Tamandua tetradactyla: one gene and its partner. The protein of the gene in region 1 interacts with the protein of each later gene in a biochemical or structural test. Links are inferred from orthologs where the notes say so. Each region holds a gene or a part of one and is shown on either strand. Other genes may lie near its edges.

Evidence for each region.
Region 2: the proteins of SMURF2 (region 1) and SMAD2 form a complex in vitro, tested with the Homo sapiens proteins (3 studies listed by BioGRID and IntAct, with this or other methods). The link is inferred for Tamandua tetradactyla from reciprocal best matches to the Homo sapiens genes SMURF2 and SMAD2.

Annotation. Positions count from the first base shown.
Region 1 is NC_135332.1:5,950,747-5,958,259, forward strand, and holds the start of SMURF2 (E3 ubiquitin-protein ligase SMURF2), read right to left. Parts: upstream 3,082-7,513; 5' UTR 3,033-3,081; coding exon 2,981-3,032; intron 1-2,980. UniProt on the Homo sapiens protein: E3 ubiquitin-protein ligase which accepts ubiquitin from an E2 ubiquitin-conjugating enzyme in the form of a thioester and then directly transfers the ubiquitin to targeted substrates.
Region 2 is NC_135344.1:35,188,448-35,195,867, forward strand, and holds the start of SMAD2 (mothers against decapentaplegic homolog 2), read left to right. Parts: upstream 1-4,385; 5' UTR 4,386-4,485; intron 4,486-4,549; exon of another isoform or gene 4,550-4,589; intron 4,590-4,730; exon of another isoform or gene 4,731-4,827; 5' UTR 4,828-4,915; intron 4,916-7,420. UniProt on the Homo sapiens protein: Receptor-regulated SMAD (R-SMAD) that is an intracellular signal transducer and transcriptional modulator activated by TGF-beta (transforming growth factor) and activin type 1 receptor kinases.

The DNA of each region.
Region 1 (7,513 bases):
GGGGTACCTCAAACCTGGGATTAAATGAGCCCTGCCACCGGTTGTTTGGTGGTAGAATGCTGGCCTGCCATGCTGGAGACCAGGGTTCTATCCCCAGCTCATGGACCCCTCCATCCCATCAAAAAAAAAAAAAAATTAGCCTCCCCACTTTAGAAACAGCAAATACCAAACAGTTCACTAGTTGATTGCAGTTTCAGAAATTATGTGGAAAAATCTAATGTCTACCGTGGCAGAGAGCCCATGGCTCAAATATTTCTTCTCCTTGGTTTATGTGTGTGTGTCACCATCCAAGAATTGTTTACCTTTTAGTAAAGGGACATCTCTACATTAAAGATATAATTGAGTAACTACAGTTCAAAAAGCACCTTGAAATCAAAGGCACTCTATAAATTTAAAATACTAGTTGGTATTAACTTAGAGCAAAGAGCAGTACTTTTAAGCATCTTGTAGCCCCAGATTATTTTAAAGCAAATAAAAATTTATTGTGGGATTTGCCTTTTTTTTTTAAGTGGTTTTTCCTCTATGATGAAACATGGATAAAATGAACTGTTAAACACTTAGTCTAAAGGTATGCCAAACATTTAAGGTCTTACTTAACAAAGAATCAACTACTTTTTTTTTTTTCAAACACAAAACGAAGCCTAGGTTAAATATTTTATTTGGCTTCTCAAGATGGACTGAGAAGTTGGGCACCAGCTCCAGACCAATTCCTGGACGCACATCAAACACAGCCCTGTCATTTATCCAGTCAGTCAAAACAATCTTTTCCATCTAACCCTTTAATGTTTATGTCCTAAAAAGCTTCTAATTGAATGCAGTTCTTGAGATCTGTTTGTTAAAATCTATACCATCTAATTTGTAAATGATGAAAATGAAGGAAATATATATATATATGTATGTTAACTTTCCTGGCAAAACAGAAGAGAATCCACCACATGTAACAAAAGTGAGGAGAACATCTTTTTAAACTTTGTCATATTTTAAGACAAAACCATTAGGAGATAAATACCCACTAGTTTTAAGAAATTAAGAGTACCTCAAAAATTAAGGAGACTAACCAAAGACACTGTGTGCTTAAAATCTAAAAATACAAAATTACTTTCTATAAAATCAGTCCGCAGCTCCCTTCCACCACCCCCTTAATATAAACAAGTACAATCTTGCCTCCTCCTAATAAACTTTACTTGTGAATCTTTATAATGTATCATATACAGTAAGGAAACCACAGAAAAACACTAAGATCTATCTATTCAGATTTAAAACCTCACTTTATCTGCAGAAAATCAAAATCGCTGTTTTCTCCCTCATTTTCATTGTATGAATATACGCTAAAGAAAGGAAAGTAAATAGGCAAGAATCTATTTCTGATGCTTTTTAAAGCATACCTGGAAGTCACAGGTTCTTTCTATAATCACAAGCACAGGATTGACTCCAGACACTGAACAGCAGTAGATAAACTCTAAAGCAACAAAGGTCCCTTATAAAGGTTTCCAGTGACCCCTAAGAAAATAAGGAAACTGAATGGGAGGAAGGAGGGAGATATGCATTCCCCAATCCAGGTTTTCAATTAAGAACCACTCAGTTAATAATGCTTGGTAATTTTCCCTAGGGAAAGTAAAACTGTCATGAAAGTGATGTTATTTTAAAAATTACAGCCAACTATATTTAGGCTACTTTATCAAATACCAAATTCACCACAAGTTAGTTTTTATCTCAAAAGTTCAGCCAGTGGACTGGGATGTGACACACTAGTATTCAACTACAAAATTAGTCCAAATATATCTCAAAGTCTAGTATAAGCAAAGATAAGTAATTTATTCTTACACACACACACATGTCCTGTAAGGAAAACCATCTTTCTCACCACACATGGAAATATAAACGTGGACAACTTATTAATGGGGAATGGTGACCCAGGGTAACCATACTGATTTCAACTACACTTTTCAAACCAAAAAAAATGTTTCCTTAAAAGGGTAACATGTCCCTATAAAAATAGCAAAACTGGCACTGCAAACAAAATATACCTGTAATGTTAAAGTTTTATGCACCTGGACTCACAAACACTTTTTTTTTTTTTAAGAGTAACAACTATCTCACAACCCCTCCCGAAATTCTTTTTGTACTGGCAATCTTCAGAAAAGGGAAGGGGGGTAGAGTGGGTTGAGACAAAGTTCTCTTGAAAGTTTATAGGCGCACATACTTACAAATTTAATTGTTTAAGACATGTTTTTAAAGCAGATCTAGAGTTAGAAATGAGACACAAGTTCCGCGGCCTACAAGGAACAACCCAAAACATGCTAACCTACAATCGAACACTTTCAAAACACAGTGGTCAATGAACCTGAGTCGTCGGATCAGGAAGACACTCGGGGAAAGTCAATCTCAGCCTCCTTCTTCCCAAAACTAGGTTCATTTACCGGCTGCTGTGGCTAGCAGCAGAGAGTAAAGGCATATTCACGCGGGCGTGTTGGTGTACAAGTTAACCAGGGAACGAACGCACACACACGCACACACACACACACACACACACACACACACTCCCGTTAAGCGCTCCATCTTTAAGGAGTGTTTACTGCGCACAGTCAGCGACCGGATTCAATAATCCCCGCCACAGGAGCGCCTCATCCCCTCAACGACCCCACCTGGGGAGCAAGCTAGGAACTACTCCCCCAGACTCAGGGAGAAGTAGGGATCCTCGGCCAAGACTTTTCGACCTCAAATTCGCAAAGAATTCAAACCGACTTACCCCTCCCCTCTACGGAAGACCCCCGGGTCACCCTTGGCTTTCTAAAGAATTTACAATCAAGAGCGAGTGGTTTTTCCGACTACTCTCCCCTGACCTAGGCCTTCCCACGCCTCCGGTCTCCAGCTCCCCGCCGATCGCGACCCTGGCCCTTCCCAAGCCCGCAGGCACCCCCCGTCGGCTCGCCCGCCCCGCGGCTGCCCCGGCCTGGGTCCCGCCGCCCGCCTCCCTCACCTGTCAGGCGCAGCTTGACGGGCCCGTTCCTCCGGCCTCCGGGGTTAGACATGTCCCCGGCGGCGGGGGTGGCGGCGGGGTTGCGGGCGCGGGGGCCGGGGCCGGCGGCGGGCGGGGCGGAGGCGACGGCGAGGCGCGGCGGAGTCACCACAGCGGCCGGGGCTGGGGCCCGAGCTGCCGGCGCCGCGGCCGCCGCGGCCGGAGGGTCCCGGATGTGCCGAGCGTCGTCGCCATGAGCCGCGGAGGGAGCGGGACGCCGAGCTCCCCCCTCCTCCCACTTCTCCTTCCTCTGCCCGGGCAGCACAACAAAGCAGCAGCCGCGGCCGGCCGCGCCGCTTCTGCCAGCGCCTCCAAGCAGCCGCCTCTGGCCTCTTCCACCTTTCGGCTCGGCGAGGCCCAGGATCCGACGCGGATGGTCGGCTGAGGCGGGCGGTGCTCGGTGGCGGCGGAGCAGAGTTTCGGGGCTCAGGCGCTTCCTCCTCCACCCGCCCTCTTGTCTGAGGGAACCGGGTCCCGGGGCCGCCGCCGCCACTAGTCGGCTTGGGGGGCGGGGGGGGGCGGGGGGCGGGGCTTGGGGGCGGGGCGGGGCCTGGGCGTGCCGAGCCCGGGTGAGGGCGGCGGGGCGGCGGGGCGCCGCTGTCGGGGTGGGGGTTCGCTGGAAGGCACGCTGTCTTTCCTCCTGGGTCCCACGCAGAACTTGAGGAGGGAGGAAACAAAGGAGAAAAGTGTTGGTGGCGGCAGCTTCGTGGCACCAGGAGGGACCTTGGTGTCCAACTCCCTTAAAAGACGAGAGCTTTTGTTTGCGAAAGGCGGACTGCACTTATTAGACTCCCCACTACTCTTCCAGAGGCTGGGACGAACAAGGTTAGAGCCGGGAGTTCTCTCCGGGAATTTAGCATCCCTCTGGCGAAGGAAGGAACACTTATTCCCACACCGAGGGTTCCAGCAAATCCCCAGGGGTCCTTCGCTTCTGGTATTGCAGTTGCCGCCGCCATCCTGGACTCACCTGGTGTACGAGATCAGGTTACCTACCTGCTCCGGCTCTTTTTCCAGTAATAGTTCAAGGATAGGTCGATGGTAAAGACTTAAAGGATTGTTAACAAGATAAACCTTGGGGTGCAATGTATGAAAAACTTTTCATACAGAACTGCATTTTTTCAGGAGGATAAAATAGAAAATGAAATAAAAATATGTGTACCTTACCCTTTGATCCATTAGTCGCACTCCTAGGAATTTGTTTTTGAAAAACAATTCTGAAAAAGAGAAAAAGACTATACAGAAGATGCACTTTGCAAAATTCGGTTAATAACGAAAGAAGGGGATGAAGGATCAGCGTAATGGTAAATTATATTAAGTCAACAGGATAGACTTTATGCAGCCACTGAAATGACAATTGTGAAGGTCATGTAACATGGAAGAGTTTAGAAATAATGCAAAGTTTAAAAACATAGTTTAAAAAGCTGCATGTATACATGCAAGATTATCTGTGCACAATGAAAACAAGAGTGACTGAAGTCTCCCCAGTTGTGTGGGAGAGGACTCCCAGGGATGAGCCTGGCCTCGCATGGTGGAATCAACAATGCCATCCTGACCAAAAGGGGGGAAAGAAGTGTAACAAGGTATCAGTGGCTGAGAGACTTCAAATAGAGTTGAGAAGCTACACTTGGAGGTCATTCTTACCTAAGCTTCAGTTAGACATTACTGCCTACCATAACTTGCCAACCCCCAACCAAAACCATTCCAGCCAATCCTAAAGAACCTCTGGGGCGGGATATAAGATTCTACGAAGGTTCCATGCACTTAGGGTACCTTTCCAAAAACCTACAACCTGCAAATGGATCTCTGGACCAGATAAGTCCTGAAATGCAGAAGGCCAGCTTCTCCAGAAAATATAGTTCCATTCCCCTACCCCATATTATCGACAGCCCCTTACAACATGAAAAAGTTAGAATGGCCATAGCCCAGGTACCCCGAAACAGTGGGAGAAAGATCAAAGATGATGGTGGAGTTATACAGAGAAGGTAGGTTTTAACAAATAAGTACGATTGCTGAATCACCCTATTGATATTTTAGCCTCCAGTATCTCAGAGCACCTAGAAGTAAAAGCCTAAAATGGTGGAATCGTAACCCATACCAAACTCTGAAATCTGTACTACAACTAATTGTTGTGATGTGCTTTGAAATTTATTGCTTTTATGTACATATGTTATTTTTCACACAAAAAAGAAAAATATATATTTCTTCTAGCCTCCAGTGTTTTGGAGCAGCTAGAAGGAAAAATCTGAAATAGTGGAATGGTAACCATAACAAACTCTGAAATCTGTTCTGTATCGACCTCTTGACATATACTTTGAAAATCATTGCCTTTTCTGTCTTTTCTTTGTATATATGTTATATTTAACAATAAAAAGGTTTAAAAAAAATAGTGACTATGGGTTGTTTTTTTGCATGCTTTGTTAATTTTCCAGAAACTGTTGAAGCATCTATGCTATTTTAAATTTAAAGTCTAATATATTTTAATCCTAATTCAGTCCGTCAGCCATTGCTTTTAATTCACCAATGAAGTCACTTCATTTTCCAGATGAAATCTCATCAGGCTTACACTCCTTCCATTTAAAGTGATCCAAATAATTATGCAAAGTTCTAGAAGTCAAACTAGAAACATAAAGGACAGTGCTAGAAATTCATTCAACAAATACTGCGTGCCTACTATGAGCAAAACAGTGAACAAGTTCCTTTAGAAATGTTTTTTTTGTACTATAAAAGATCTGAAGCGACACATTCAATTTGAATAGCTCATATCACAATTTAAGAGGCTGGATAATGGCAATAAAACTTAACAAATGGACGTGTACATACACATATGCCTTATCCTTATGACACACACTTTGTTCCAAACACCCACTAAGGTAATTTGTATTAAATGATAATAGTTAGGATTCCAGAACCTGGTGGGGGAGGCCAAGAGAGACATAATTTATTGAGAAGTTGAAAGCAGTACATTCACAGTTAATGTGACAGTGACGACACAGAAAAATGTATACATGCATAATGTGCAGAGGAGGACTCTGTTTAGGCTTGCCGCTGTGTAAATTTAAATCCTGTTGTTTAAAACAGAAGATTCAGATAAGAATAATACTTTAAACCCATTCAGTATACTAGTAATAGTCTTTCTCTTAAGATGAGTACACAGATGTGCATTTAATTATTATCCTTTTTCTTGCCATGTTAAATACTATTTGACACAGGTTTTAAATACTTAATAAAAATAAAATTAAGTAAAATTTTCAAATGAAGTCACATAAATGACAAAATAAAATAGATTAGCACTAATTGGAAAATTACGTTGAATGCATCTCAGCTCAATGGCATCAGCTAGCCCAGAATCAGACTCCTGAGATTGGGCATAATGTCAGAAGACTTTCAAAAAAATACATTTATATGTTTCCCCCTTTGGGACATGTTTAAAATGTACATTACAATGTACATTACAATGTACATTTTGACAGGGAACTACCAAAATCACAGGGAGAATTTAAGAAGGACAAAGAAGAAAGTGAACAAGGTGGGTGGGCATTGGGATTCATATAAAGAAAAGACACATGAAGATAAGGCCATTTTCTAACTCCCAGCAAAATATTACTATGCCATTCATTCGTTCAATTCAAGGCCCCGAAGATACCGAAAGGGAAGAATATTTAAGTTAGTATAGTAGAAGAGACTCTTTCCACAAAGAAAAAAGAAAGAAAGATGGGGAAGGCTCTTATTACAACCAGGACTGAATTTGATAAGCGGCGCGTTTTAATCTACGGCTTCCCAACGGAGCTGCTTATGTGGGGTTGAAAATACAGGGGCCCATGCTCAGCCCAGACCTACTGAATCAGAATTTCCTATGGGTCTAGCGGAGGAGCTTTTGTAAAAAGCTACACAGGGGATTCTGATACATAAACAGGTTTGGGAACCGCTATCCCAGTGATTCTCAAACTTTACAGTTTATCAGAATCACCTGGAGAGCTTGTTAAACCCAGACAAAGTTCCACCTCCAAAATTTCTGGCTGAGTTGGTCCGGGGCGGTGCCTGAGGATTTGCATCCCTAACAAGTTTCCCAGGTGATCCAGATGATGCTAGTCCTGGGATCACACTTTGAGAACAATTACATTATCCTAAATCACCCAGAGGAAAGCTCAGCTTTCATTAGATTAAATTTCAGCATTAGATGCACAGCATTGTCTCCATCATGGCAATAGTTTCAGAAAGATTTTTGAGAAAATAGGGAGAAAAAAAACACCCTTTGCTTCACCCTTTTCTTTCCTCTTAAAATTGAAATCCACTTCCAACATAAATTGTACCTGTACATGCCTCTGATTGGGTATGGAAATTGCAGAAAATATTTTCAAAGATGTTTTATTCCCTTGTGATTTCTAATTTGCTCTCCATAGAATTGGACACTTTTATTGAATCATTATTTTAAGCATCTGTCTCAAGTATATACTCCACTGTTTCTACCACTAACTCTTTTCCATAAATGTTACT
Region 2 (7,420 bases), on another chromosome or scaffold:
TTAGAACATTTGCATCACTCCAGAAAAAGAAATAAAAAGAAAAAAAAAGAACTCACATAACCCATACCCCTTGCCCCTCCCTCTCACTGATCCACAGTATTTCAATCTAGCCAATTTTTACCCTTCATCTCCCCCATTATTTATTCATTATCCTTATTTTTTTTTATTCATCTGTCCACACCCTGGATATAGGAGCATCAGACACAAGGTTTTCACAATAATACAGTCACATTATAAAAGCTGTATCATTATACAATCATCTTCAAGAATCAAGGCTATTGGAACACAGTTCAATAGAACTACCTGGATCTTTCCTTAAGATATAGTAATGCTCACTGTAACAATTTCCACTACGATGAACAAATGGGTCAGTAAGGATGAGGCAAAACTGTGTAGAACGCTGGAAGATGTTGCAGACCGAGGATATACAGCATTTTTCTGCTATACAAATGATGTATTTCACCTTCTTCAATTAGTGAGCATTTTAATAAGGATGAGAATAAGATGCTGTCCTTGTCCTCCAGGAATTTATAATCTAAATGGGGAGACAAAATATACACCCATGAAAAATTAAATAGCTGCTCAAGACTAAACTAACAGATCAAGGCATTAATCAAAGAGAAGTCATGTACACCATTCTGACCATAAGAAAGAGTTCAGAGGTGATATAAGTTTGGGCTGGGGAAGCCAGGGAAGGGCTTTAGAGATTTACCATAGAGGAAATAGATATGAATTATATCTTTTGAAAATGAACCACACTGAGATACAGTTTAAAAAACAAATCACACTACAGAAGAACTAATGATGAAATTTTAGTTTTCCACTCATGACTCTCAGGCTCTTTCTGAAAACCAATCACCATTACCATTTTTCTCGCGTCTTTCCAGTGTATTCAACTACCTGTAAATAGAGTCTGAATTGATTTTGATTTTGCAGTGTAATGCACAATGAAGGGTTAAGCTTGGTATCTATAAATATAAAAGTAAGACTCGTTCAATATAATTTATACAATAGAGACCTACTAAGAGATTTGAAGTACCCTAGTGAATTTCCAAGCTGATTGTTGCCATGGCAATCCCTGCCCCATCTACTTCAGTTCCTGTCTTGACCCACTTTGGTTTAGATGTTTCTAGCAGAGAGGACAGTTGACATGCTACCATATCTAAACCCTTGGGGACTGCATTGGTAGCCAGATTGTCTCTCATCCTCTTTCCTCAATCCTACAAATCCTAGAAGGCCTTCTAGAAAGAGCTGGAACCCAAAATCTGACACTTTGGAGAAATGGTCTAACTGAGACCTCAAGCATATTACCTATTGAACTAACGTACTCCTCCCCCTTTCTCTCCTCCCCATACTTGGAACAGATTCTTCTGGGGTCCTAGCCAGGTTTACTTTTGTTCCTACCCCTACTCACCCAGGTGGACATGGAAATCCATACCCTGCTAACATGGGAGAGACCGTTCATGTGACTCATCAGTTTAAAAAAAAAAAACTTTTATAAATTTTCACACATACAGTCCATACATAGTATACAATCAGTGGCTCACAATATCATCATGTAGTTGTATATTCATCACCATAATCATTTTTAGAGCATTTGCATCACTCCAGAAAAAGAAATAAAAAAAGAAAAAACTTATACATCCCATGCCCCTTACCTTCCCTCTCATTGACCACTAGCATTTCAATCTATCGATTTATTTCATCCCTTATCCCACCTATATTTACTTATTTTTTATAATTTCTTTTTACTCATCTGTCCATTTCCTGGATAAAAGGAGCATCATACACAAGGCTTTCACAATCAGAGAGTCACACTATAAAAGCTCTAACATTATACAGTCATTTCAAGAATCAAGACTACTGGAACACAGCTCAACAGTTCAGAGTACTTCCCTCCAGCCACTCCAATACACCATAAACTAAAAAGGGATTTCTATATAACGTATAAGAATACTCCCTAGGACAACTTCTCAACTTTGCTTGAAATCTCTCAGCCACTGAAACTTTACTTTGCCTCATTTCTTTCTTTCCCCTATGGTCAACAAGACTTTCTCAATCTCATGATACTGGGTTCCGGTTCATCCCAGGAGTCCTGTCCCACGTTGCCAGGGAGATTTACACCCCTAGGTGTCATGTCCCATGTAGGGGGGGAAGGCAATGAGTTCACCTGGAGTTGGCTTAGAGAGAGGGCAAGGCAGCTTTTTAAGGCTTTTTTATATTAAAACTGTTGACTTGCATTAATAGGAAGAAGGACCAAAAAACAAGCTACCTTATTTCAAAATTGAACGGCCAGTATTAGTTGTCATTTAACCGCCTCCCTTTGCCCTAGACCAACTTCCCCAGTGGCCGCTGGAAACAAGGCATAGGTGGGACTGCTCCACCAGTTGGCTTCCTGGGTCTCTTTCACTAGCTATTTTTAATAAGGGCTGAGTCAAGCTGCCTCTAAACTAACAGCGTAAGATACCACCCTGTTAGTAAATTTTTGGAGGAAGGATTTCTACTGAGTAGGCTCATCTTTGCATAAATACATGCAGGCAACAGAAGGGAAGGAAAATTAATATTTATTGACTTTAACTTCAAAGCACTATGCTACTCACTTTCATATTTATTAATTTATTCATCACACAATTATATTTAAGTAGATATCATTGCAAGTGAGTTCTTCTTCTCAAAGATTACAGACTTGAACAGAGCTGTACTCAAAATGACAATTTAACTCCAGGTTTCAGGCTCTTCGTCACTACGTTTCCATGAGAAAAGTACTTCCACGCATGAGGAGGTGGTGGAAATGAAAGAGATTTTGAAAGGAACTCTGGAAAACCTGTAAGACTCAGAGAAGTAACGGCTAAACATTTCTCCAGGTCCAGCTGAAGGCCCCTACTTCCGAGTAGCCTTCATTTCTGGGATTAAAGAGTACACCTTCAAAACGCTTAGTGTTTGAAATGCTCCTTTGGTACTTCTTGATTACTGATTTGTATTGCTACGGATGCTTTTCCGCTTGAGTTCCCAGTTAAATCCATGAATGATAACATAGAGTGCTGGACAGGAAGCCAAGAAAACTATGTTCTAGTCTTGTCTCTGCCACTTTTGTGAGATCTGAGGTTCTTTTCAACTTTAGTTCTGCGGTGCTCCCCAATTAAGAGAGAGGCGCTTAAGAAATACTTGACGTATTGTGTTAGGTTCAATATTTTCGTGAGCCGAGGTTTGGGTGTCCCTAAGCAATAGACAAATCCTGTCAGTCCTGGGCAGTGTGCAGCCTAAGAACTTTGCAGCCTTCGGTAGCGCAGAAGCGCTAAAGTCTGGCCTAGGAATATCTCAGTTGAAAGCACTACGGAAGGAGCGCCTGAACAGTGGAGAAATGAACAGCAAGGCAAGGAAACCCAACAATTCTGAGGCATCGTGCCGGGGACTTATCTTTTAGATTTCACAAAGACTGCACAGAGAGTGCATTAGTAGCATCATTTTTACCGAGGATGAAACTGAGATTCAGGTTAAAGGAAAACACCTGGCCCCCTCACGCTAAACGCAAACGGCATCCCAGGCTCTCGGTTTATTTACACTCGGACTCCGCCCCCGCCGCACAGCACGAGGGGCCCCGCCCACTCCCTCGCCTGTGGGTGTGTCCAGGCGCTGGCCGAATCCTAGGGTTTTCTTCCTAGCCCGCTTCTGTCCGTGTTCGTCCAAGCCTCAGGGCGGGCCCCAGCCTCCCCAAGAAATGAGCACGTGTCCACTCCCGGCTTAACTAAGGAAAGTGCACCAGGCGGCGGCCCCCAAGCAGGGCCCACCCCATGAAGCTGGGGAAGGGCGGAAAGGGTCCCGGGGCCGAGGCGAAGAGAGAAGGGTGGTCGCCGGGATTATTTTCCCAGCGCGGCAGGTTACGTGCCTTCTACTTCCTCCCTCCCCTCCCTGGAGTCTTTTCTGGGAGCGTGCCGGAGACGAAATCAGCCGAAACCGCTTGCGTCCAACCCCTCCTCGTCCCCAGCCCGCCCGGCCGCGCCTCGCCTCACGCTCTACGAGGGAGGCGGGACCAATCAGCGAGCGACGTCTCCCTTCCGATTCAAGCCACCCGACGCGCGGCTCACACCCCGGCTACCCCGCGCGCTCATTGGCTGCGTGGGCCGCCGGTCCAGTCGCGAGGGCGGGGAGGGCCGAAGGGAAGGGAGGTGGGGAGGTAGTGGCCCGCAACTCTCCGTGCCCTGCTCGCCCCTAGCTCTTCCCTCGGCGCCTGGCCTCCCTCCTTCTTTCCGCCGCTCCCTCCGTCTTCTCTGCGCGCGGAGCGCTCCACTCGGCCGGCGTTCCTCCGCCCTAACAGGCGGGTGGGGGCGCCAATCAGCGGGCGGCAGGGTGCCAGCCCCGGGGCTGTGCCGGCGAATCGGCGGGGCTCGCGGCCCGGGGTGGGAGGCGGGTCTACCCGCGCGGCCGCGGCGGCGGAGGAGCAGCTCGCCAGCCAGCAGCAGCGAGCGCCGAGCGAGCCGCCGGGAGGTGGGTACGCAGCGCGGCTGCGGCCGGCGACGCGAGGGCGGAGGGCGGAAGCGGAGGTGGGGCGGCGGGCGCGGCGGGGGAGGGCTCGGCCGGCCCGATGGCCCGTGAGAGGGATACGGGAGCGCGCGTGAGGGGAGGAGGGGCGGCGGCGGGACGCGCGCGTCCCCACCTCCTCCCTCCTTGGCGGGCGGCGGCCGTGGCCCTGCGACCCCTCCCCGCGCACGCCGGGCTGCCGGCGGGGCACTGGCCGGGGGAGTGGGGGGGGCGGGGCGGGAAGACGGGCGGCGGGGAGCGTGTTTTCAGTTCCGCCTCACGTCGACCATTCCCCTCTTCCCCTCCCAGCCCCCTCCATCCCATTCGGAAGAGGAAGGAACAAAAGGTCCCGGACCCCCCCGAGTCTCACTGGGCGGGACCTGGAGCCTCCGTCCAGGTAAAGCCTCGGTTCCTGGTGGGCCCTCGGGGCTAGGGGTGTGTTTGTGTTTGGCTTGGGTCGGTGAAATTCGCGTGTCACATGGCCACGGGGGTTGGGGGTTGGGGTGTGGCGAGGCTGGGGCAGTGGGTGCGCCGGTCTCTCCGGAGTGCGGATACCAGGGGGGCCAGGGACAAGCAGAGAGGGCAGGGACCGAATCTTACAGCTCGGCGCACTGGAGCTTCCCGGCCCAGCCTGGTCCGGGGCGGGGGCCGATCGTGTCCTTTCCCCTCTACTCGTAACACACTTGATGGTTTGCGGTTCTGATTTTTAAAGCCGAAGGGACATAGCTCTCTTCTTTCAGGAGTTGTGAAGCCGTGTTAGGACCGTGTGTTACTTTGCGTCCACTTTTTTCCTGGTCCTGTAACCTTTGTTAACCATAATACTCTCGGGTTCTGAATGGCTCTTGGGTACTCTTCTCACAAGAACACGCACACGGCTAATCTGTCGAGATCGTTTTTTACTCACTTGTGGAAGTTGCTCTGTGAGTAGACGCTATTAGTTTTTAGCACATGCCTTTAAAAAATAGGCTTATTGATTTCACGTATTTGAAACTTGGTTTTCAAAATTGCAACCTTAATCTCTTCTCTTCAGGGGAGTGCTGCCCTTGGGTCGCGTACTTTTGTCTTTACTTTTATGCGGTTATGGTTTCCTTTTGATCCCAAACAAAAGAAAAACAATACCTAGGTTGGTTTTGTTATTCGTTCCTCTCTTGACTCTTTAAAATCCAAATACTGCAGTTTTGTTGTCTTTATTTAAAAAACGTCTCCGGGTAAAATGAATCGTCCATCAAAATCATGTTTTGTTTGCTACAGTTTGAAGTATACTAGTTTGGTGTTTTAACTTTTAGAACTACATATGTAAAATAATTGTTAATAAATAAGTAAGTAAATAGTCTTGCAAACTTATTTGAAGTAATTTCATCTTTTCAAAAATGGTCCCAGAAAATGGAATTTCTAGAATTCTAAAATGATACTTTAATATTGTTTCCTTTTCATTTTCTTCTCCCTTCTGACATTTGAATTGAACCTGTATCACTGATAGTACCGATGTTTTCTTTGAACCTAAGAAGACAATAAATCTGCTATTATTAAGCCGAAAGTACATTTGCTATTATTGGAGTTTTGATCCCCTTAAAAAAATTCCCACTTACATAGAAGATTAATAGTTAAATGAAGTTTGAACAGTTTTCATGTGTGAATAAGTGAAGCCAATATAACCGAGAGATGGGAGGTATAAGCGAAAATGGATTTTGTAAATGTGTGTAGTTTGAGAGTTTTTCATTTGCCTTAGGAAATTATATTGGTTGTTTAAAGGATTTCCTCCACCAAAAGGTAATTTAGCACAGTTTTTACATTGAATTCAGAAAGTAAATTTTTAGAGTTTCTTGGTTTTCACCATGAAATTTGCTTTGTAGTTTGTAGAAAATAAAAATAGTGTATGTCTTTGAGCATTTTTAAGAAGAGTGTCCACCTGTATTCTATTTATTTATTTACTTTTTCTACATGGGCGGGCACTGGGAATCGAACCTGGGTCTCTGGCATGGCAGGCGAAAACTCTGCCAGTGAGCCACTGTTGTCCGCCCTCTTTTTATTTTTTTTAACCTGAATGAGAATGGAAGTTCATTGTCTTTTATTTTATCTGAATTTAAAAAAATTAATTTACTTTAAAATATTTATGTATAATAAAATTCACTCTTCTTGGTGTACAGTTCTGTGAACTTAGACAAATGTATCTTGTAGTAAACCACCCCCACACTCGAGATAAAGAGTAGTTCCATCACTCCTAAAAAATTCCCTAATACTACACCTTTATAAATCAGCCTCAACCCCTTTGAACCACTACGCTGTTTTTTAGTCCCATAATATTTGTCTTTTCCAGATGTCGTGTCAGTGGAATCATGTGTTATGTAGCTGTTTTAGTCCAGTTTCATTGGCTTACACATTTGAGAGTCATGTTATCAGTTTTTTGTTCCTTTTTTATTGCTGAATAGTAGTCTACAGTACATCCATTCATCATTTGAAGTACATAACATTCTTAATGTTAAAATCTATTGGATGTAATTGAGTTTAGAGAAATTCATTGGCCATTTTTAATTAATGTAATGTGATTTGAAACAACCATTTTAAAACTTGTTTTAGTAAGAAATTCTCAGGAAGTGCTATTTTTTTTTTTTTTTGGCATAGTTAGGCTCCAGGAATTGAACCTGGGTCTCTGGCATGGCGGGCAAGAATTCTGCTACTGAGCCAGTGTTGCACCGCCCAAGAGCTTGGTTTTTATACTTTTTACCAACACCTTAGTCTTGCAAAGAACTATGCAGGGTAGTCAGGTTTGGTATGTATTCCTCTTAAGTAGGAAAATTGGGGATGGCTTTATATGTTTCAAGCATCCACTTTAACAAAACTGCTTAATGGGAACAAAGGTGGTTTGGCAAAAGGTGCTTTTTAAATTTTCGTATTGTAAATA